Oryzias latipes: one gene and its partner. The protein of the gene in region 1 interacts with the protein of each later gene in a biochemical or structural test. Links are inferred from orthologs where the notes say so. Each region holds a gene or a part of one and is shown on either strand. Other genes may lie near its edges.

Region 1 (3,823 bases):
GGGGGGGGGGGGGGGGGGGTATGTGAAGCTCCTATAGGTCCCCCCCAGACATAAAAACTTCACAAATAATAGATAATGGCTATTATCCCAAGCGATTTTTTGTATATCTCTAGAGTGCACACCAATTTAAAATCAAAAGTGTACCATTTTCAGTTCCAAAACTTTGTAACTGTTCATAATGGAAAGTTTTTTTAACTATATATAATGTTTTTATTTATTTTATATGATAATTCTAATTTTAAAAAAATAAAATATTCTGATAAATTTTTATTTGCAACATGCAATTCCAAAATACAAGTCTTCTCCCATGTTCCAAGTTTATTTTAAATTAGTACTTAGGTGGAATTGGCTTTGCAATAAAAAAAAAAAAAAAAAGTATCGAATGAAATAAATCTTATTAAACGGTCAATCAATCAGGGAACATGTTGATGACACTTTCACAGTGATAAACGGCTTGAAAAATAATTCTGAGCTGAATGAAAGTACTAACATATTTCAGGACCAATCATCTTTTGAATGTCATTAATGCAATATATAAAAATGACATTTTTGAGACTTGGTACCTAAGTTCTGAACCTGAACAGTGATCACAGACTCTGCTTTGCACCAATGAAGCAGCATGTAGTCCAGATATGAGCTATGTCCAGCTTAATTCATGTGTGAATTCCATATCCCTATAGGCGGTGTTCATTCTGAAGTTACAAGACACGGTTTATGCCGTGCAGAATTTCGTTGCACACTTAAATTAACCAGAAAATCCTAGTATAAACCACTACTCTGATCTCTTTTGGTAAAACAATCTCTTATTTTCCTTGAAAACGTACAGAACGCAGGGCAGGATGTGCTGCTCTCGGAGCGCTTTGCACACAGATGAGAGTTAGGGTGTAAGATGACACAGCTTTTCATTCACCTTATCGTGAGTGTGTCGTCTGAGCACACAATACATCTAATTTGTCCCCAAATGGGGTAGGGTTCCTAGTGTGTGTCGTGTAGTGCAGCCAGGCTTTTGCCTTAAACTTCTGCGATGAGCCACTAAACCAACGCTGCAGAATGAAGGTCTATAAGCATGAGAAGACAGTTTATAAACTGTCCCATTTTGCATGGAAAATACACTATGATCAAAAGTGCTTCGGTATAGGATCTTTCTACAGTTTAAGATTATTGAAACAAGGATATCAGAACTGTGGTCAGGTAAAGGTCTAGCAGAATAAATCTCAAAATAAATATTTACGAACACTATAATGATGTATCATCAGTGTCAGGAGCTTTACAGAATGCTATAGGAGGGTAAAAAGACCAAAAATGTGTGTTTATGTAACAACGACTCGATTATTCAAGGCCTGTCCTATGTGTACGGGTGAGAAGTTATGGAGTTTTAGGAGCAAAACGGGGTTTCTAGGCATCTTCATCTGCCAAACACACTGACAAGACATTGAAGCAGATTTGAGACTAATGGGTAAACTTTGTCAGCCTAAGAGCCTAACAAACCGTAAACTAATTTACCAGTTTGCTTTAGGAAATGAACACATAATTAGTGGTTTTTCCAACACTCCCAAACCAAGGACAGACCCATTAGTACACAATAATACAACAAGAGCAGAAATTAATGGCTTAAAAAAGCTCTGTAAAGATAGTTTTTTAGTTCTGATCTTGCACAGGAGGATGGTGGGTGAGTATGAGATGAAAGCATAGTTAGCCATAGCATTAGTCAACACTTAGTAGAGGTTTTATAGCACACACATCAATCACGAAGCAAGAAGACTAAGAACATGTGTTAAGGAGTCACCATCACACCTCCATGCAAGCACTCACCTTTACGGTCTGGCTTTAGATTACGGTCTACGGGCGGTGGCTGGCACTCACTGAGCACTGGCCTGCGAGGGGGGGTCTTTGGACTTAAGCGGAAACCCATGTGAGCGGGTGGGGGAACCTGTTTACCCAGGGAAGGGAACTCCACAGTGCTTGGGGTCATTGGTACATAGTTCGTTTCATTCGCTGTCTCTAGCAAACTGCCAGAGTGATGGTGCGATGGGGAATTGGCACTCATCGGGACATAGTTCTGGTCAACTTCTTCTGTAGAATGGCTCCCTAATGGCATCATTCCTTTGTTTTTCTGTTGATTGCATAATTAAAAAAACACTCTTAGTTCAAAAAGAACAAACCAAGCAAAGGATCGAAGTACAACAGTCACTTTTTAACACATATTCTGCTCTTTATATTGGTTGAATATTGATGTAAACATAGAATTTGAGAAAAAGGATTTTGGTAACAACTTCAAACATCAATAATTTACAAAGCTGTAGTCACTGCATTCTATCGTATAATGAGTATGGGTGCATGATGCTTTCCTAAGAGACAGAACGGGACTCATCCTTAGTGTAACTTGATACTACTTAAAAAGCTTTCAAAAGCCTGACAGCAGTACGGAGTGGAATAGTGTTTATGAGAAGTTTAATATTTCTGCAGTCTCTGCTGTTGCTTCACATCATTATTTGGTGAAGATAGTACAGACTATCCTCTCAATGCTCTTTGTGTTGCTTGAAGTGAGAAGTCCTGGACTCTGCTGTTTTTTGTTTGCTTTTTTGAAAAAACAGGCAGTTTGTTTTCTTCTTAGTAGAAAACCTGAACATGCTGGAGACTGCATTTCTACAAAGCAGCTACTGATACACACTTTTGTATTTTGCCAACAAAAGCCATTTGTGATTTTGATAAATCCCAAATGAGTCTTGTATGTGTATTTTACTTCCAAATTACACGGCTATGAATCATAAAATAACGACACAATGTGGTGACCCCTAAAGGGCAAAGCCCAAAAGCAAAGATACTTCGCTGGATCAACTTTGTTTACTTTGGTTAATTGAATTACGTCGTTATTTTGGCATATTTCAATTTGCAATTGATATGCTGCTATAATCTGTAGTCTTGTTTTCTTCAGCTCAAATACTTATTTAACTGTCAATAGTTACAAAACAGGAGTAGTAAGAAAATGTTACCAATTTAATATTATAAAATCTGGCAACCTTTTTAATAAATGAATTATTTTTAAAACATTCCGTTTCTAGAAATGTTCAGTCATCAACACAGGCTTACTAGCAGCCATTATTATAAGGTTAAAAAAAAAAACATCCACCTGTAACTTTGGTTGCAACACTTACAAAATAGCATTTGAGGTTTTCGTTGAAGTCAAATGAATAGCTTTTATCTGTGGGGAATGGTCTAGGAATGTCATAGAAGTCCTGGGATCCAAAATCTGCAGAAACAAAACCAAACAAAGTATTAAATATTTGCAGCAAATGTCTTACTGGAACAGCACAGTGCTCAGTCAAAATGTGATTTGATGGGAAAAATACGAAATTTTCAAAAAATATTGCTGTTGTGCCTCACCGCCATGTTTTCATTTTTAGGTGTTGATCTGAATGTAAACTAAAACATTAAGAGAAACCATGTCCAAAGGACATAAAGTACTGTGCAAGTGCACACGGTTTATCAAGCATAAATTGTAAATTATTGGAAAGAAGAAAAACAAACAAGTCTCAAATGTAAATCAATCAAAAAGCCACATTACAGTATATTTATTCAGGTTAGTGATAGTTCAGCATGAATCTGTAAAGTATGACTCACTGGCGTAGTTAAAATCTCATGAAAATGGATGAACAAATGACTTTATATTAATAAAAGCAGACTTAAAGATTCAAGTCCATTTAAAGACAGAAAAAAAGACCACCCTGAAGAAAAAAAAAATCTATAAATGTTTAATATTTTTTCAAAAAACTGCTCATTTTATGGCTTTCACAAAATGAATGCAGAAGCAACAATGGTATTT
Region 2 (3,823 bases), on another chromosome or scaffold:
ATAACAAATATATGCAGATGACACCAGTTTTTTCAACTAAACCAAGCTTTGATTTGGTCTAGAGATGACGCGACCTGTGACCCTGAAGCCCTTCAAGAGGAGCTGCCATTTTCAGGAGGAGAGAGCCTCCTGATGCTCGTCGCCTCCTCACGCTCCTCATTTTATTCCCTGAACTCCATCTGCCTGAACTTCTGAACCATCTCTTCAGGCTACTCGAACCTCAGCATGTTAAAGCTGTGTGTGTATGTGTGTTTGTGTGCCTCTGGAAACGCTTCTGAACTTCTGCTTCAAACAGAAACTAGAAATATTTTAAATCTCCTTTTTGACCCACTTTCAAATGAAATTCCCCCCCGTTTCTACAGAAAAACGAACGTCTAGAAGTGAATTTGACGTCTAAACTTTTATCTGAGATTTAGAAAAAGACAACCAAAAGAAAATACATGATAAAGACATCATTATTTTAATTTTATGATAAAAATAAAAAAGTGATTTTTTTTAAATACAAACTGCATGTTTACCAGTTTTAGATTTTCAAATTAAAAGCTGTGGACTTTAAAAGAAGGCAGGCTCCTGAAACAGAAGCCCATCCATCCATTTTTTGTACCACTTTGTCCCTTTCGGGGTCGCGGGGCTGCTGGAGTCTATCCCGGCTACTTGGGCGTAGGCAGGGGATGCCCTTGACAGGTCGCCAGTCTGTCGCAGGGTAGAAGGTCCACAATCACACACCCATGCACTCTCACACTCACACCTATGGACCATTTAGAGTTGCCAATTCACCTATGAAGCATGTTTTTGGACAGTGGGAGGAAGCCGGAGATCCCGGAGAAAACCCACGCATACACGGGGAGAACATGCAAACTCCACACAGAAAGGTCCCCCATTGATGTAGTGTTTTTCATGTCCCCCAGCCGGGACTTGAACCAGGGGCCTTCTTGCTGTGAGGCAAGAGCGCTAACCACTGCGCCACCGTGCAGCAGAAACAGAAGCGACACTGAATAATATCTAGAAATGACGGCAGTTTCTGTTTGATTTTGTGGTTTTCATCAAGTGTCTTTTGGCACACAGTCCTCCTCCTCCTCCTCTTCCTCCTCCTCCTCTTCCTCCTCCTCCACTTTCATGTTCTCATTAACACAGTATTTTCACTTCTGGTTTTTGGTATCTTTTTTTTACACAACCCCCTCATGCAAATAATGTTTTTGTAGATATTTATGTAAACAAATGGCTAAAAATATTGATAATATAATTTCACTGAATTTAACATACCTGCTAAAAAACGAATTATTCTTTATCTTTATAGAGAACATATATTTACAGAGTCACAAAAACTTTTATTGCTTTATATTTATTTTGTTTTTATTGCTGTTTTTCTCATCTCCTAGTTTGTTTTAGGCACACTTTTTTCATTATTTTTTATTATTTTTTTATTATTTTATCTCATTGTGGACGTGGAAACTGACGAAAGAAAATCTTTTCTAAGAAGCAAAAACAACTATTTATGATCTTGACTCAATTCTCTTTGTGCTTATAGTGGGCAATAAAGGTCTGCAGGCTGTGATTTGTGTACATTTAGTGCAGTTTTATTTAAAATAACGATAAAAACAAACCAAACAGAAGTCTTCTTAAATAGAACTTGAAATGAAAAGAGAGAAACTGAAAGGAAAAGGCTCTAAAATCTAAATCTTTGTCTTTCTTTAGAGTTTTGATATTTTATTTTGAAAATCATTTAGGTAACACACGCAGACGTGGAGTTAAAATTTTTCTTCACTTTATTCTGAAACTAAACTGTGTTGAAGGAAAGTTGAGTCAATCTATGATTGGAAAAGCTGCCTGGTTGCTATGGAAACGTCTTCCCTGCATCCATCTAAAACCTCTTAAATTGACCATTTATTGCGCACGCATCATTAGGAAAGCAGGTGGCGTGTACCTGTGCGGAGGCGGGGCTCCGGCTGTTGGAGCTGCCGTCCTTCAGGCAGATCTTCCTGGTCTTGGAGATGGACGTGGTTTTGTAAAACTCCACCAGCTTGTTCAGGGACATGAACTTCTCCGACCACAGGAAGTACTGGCCCTTGTTGTCCCTCATGACTTTGAAGTGCTGCACGTCGCTCTCATGCCTGAGCGGAGGCGGAGACGCGCATTAGCGTAGAGAAAGAAAAAAAAACCACCCTGGAGACTTGGGGGCGGGGCTAAAAATTCACCAGAAGAAGCAAGCAGACCTCAGATTTTTGTTTTGCTTTTTTAAAAGCATTTTCAGAAATACCTTTAAGCTTTTCCTGTTGGAGGAGAACTTCTCCACCTCTCTGAGATAATGTGGCTAACGTCTGCAGCGTGGACATGGATTCAAACCCTCGCCGTCCGTCCACACACTTCATGATCCACATTCGAGTGTGAAGGCTTTTACTCTGAAATTCTTTGTTTATCATTTTGATTTACTGACTTACTTTGAAAATCTGAAGGTAGAGACACGTCACGCTGACTTTTTTCTCATTTATTCTTTTGTTTTACGTCCATCTCTTCCATTTATAAACTACAAACTTAAAGAGCAGAAACTCCTGAGAATAAAGGGTGATTAAAAAAATGTTTTTGAGACCAAACCTTAAACCGACTAAACGTCTGACAGCAAATGAGCCAAACAGGAGAAGTGTTTGCATCAAAACAGATGTAAACAAACATTAAACCTCCTAATGGAGGTGTGAAGAGAGAAAAAAATCTTATTTTATGGACCCTACGCTCATTCAGTGACTCCTCAAAGGTCAGACGGGAAAATTCAACACTTTATTAACTATTTTAATCACATCGGTCACTGATAAACAACAAAAATCCCTTACTGTCTATAATTTTTTTAGTAAAAAACAAAGTTTGACAATAAATGAAGATATCGCTCAAAATAAAAATAAAAAAAACGGCTCAAAAGTTTTTTTGTTTTGATTCAAACGAAGAATCATAAATCCTCAATAAATTTCTACATTTTTTTTTTAGTTTGTGTGATTTTTAAAAGGAAACTGAGGAAATCCAGCCTAAAGAAAGAGGTTTGAATCATTCGTTAGTCGTGTTTGTCCTGAGACCTTCAGTTCTGCACTTTTTTCCGGCGGTGGGTCTCAGACTCACTCGACCGTCAGCTCGTTCCTGAACGCTCCTTCAGCCCAGCGGCGCCACCTACTTGACAGAGATGGAGAAGTCTCCTGGAGAAGTCTGGCAGCCTCGGATCACAAAGTCTCCCACGTCTCTGTGCCTCAGGATCTCCTCTGCGCCGCTGCGGCTGGTGTTCTCCTGAAACCACCTGAGCGGAGACGCCTGCAGATTATCTGATGCAAACGGCGGCGGCGGCTGCTGCTGCTGCTGCTGCTGCAGCTTCAACCGACACGTTCCAGCGCGAGAGCACAGGACGGTTCTTACGCTGGAAGCTGGATCTCCAGGTAGTTCTTCGGAACGTAGCCTTCCTGTCCGTTGAGCTCCGCCTTACACCACTCCTCTTCGAAGTTTATAATCTGCCACAAACACAGAAGAGAGCCGGTTCGGTACCGAGAAGCTGGGACGAGGGCCTCCGGCTCCGGAGCAGCACCAACCTTCAGGACGTCGCCCTTCCTGAAGCTCAGCTCGTCGTCCGCCGTTGCAGAGAACTCGTACTTCCCTCGGGCTTCCATCAGGAGGTCAGGAGAGGCCGAGCAGAGCGCTCATGCGCGTCCTTCGCAGGTGCTTCTCTGCAGGGAGGAGCAGAAAGGCAGGAGGTGTTAGAAGGAGAACCCTTCCCGTCTGTTTTTCTAGAAGAAACAGATGAAGAGTGCAGACAGACAGCTTCTGCAAAACATTTCCGGGTTTAAACGCA

The links.
Region 2: the proteins of gab1 (region 1) and growth factor receptor-bound protein 2 form a complex in vitro, tested with the Homo sapiens proteins (2 studies listed by BioGRID and IntAct, with this or other methods). The link is inferred for Oryzias latipes from reciprocal best matches to the Homo sapiens genes GAB1 and GRAP2.

What each region holds. Positions count from the first base shown.
Region 1 is NC_019859.2:18,111,016-18,114,838, forward strand, and holds part of gab1 (GRB2-associated-binding protein 1), read right to left. Parts: intron 3,251-3,823; coding exon 3,156-3,250; intron 2,114-3,155; coding exon 1,813-2,113; intron 1-1,812. UniProt on the Homo sapiens protein: Adapter protein that plays a role in intracellular signaling cascades triggered by activated receptor-type kinases. Plays a role in FGFR1 signaling. Probably involved in signaling by the epidermal growth factor receptor (EGFR) and the insulin receptor (INSR).
Region 2 is NC_019866.2:2,930,893-2,934,715, reverse strand, and holds part of growth factor receptor-bound protein 2, read right to left. Parts: intron 3,699-3,823; 5' UTR 3,642-3,698; coding exon 3,564-3,641; intron 3,486-3,563; coding exon 3,394-3,485; intron 3,278-3,393; coding exon 3,158-3,277; intron 2,112-3,157; coding exon 1,925-2,111; intron 1-1,924. UniProt on the Homo sapiens protein: Interacts with SLP-76 to regulate NF-AT activation. Binds to tyrosine-phosphorylated shc.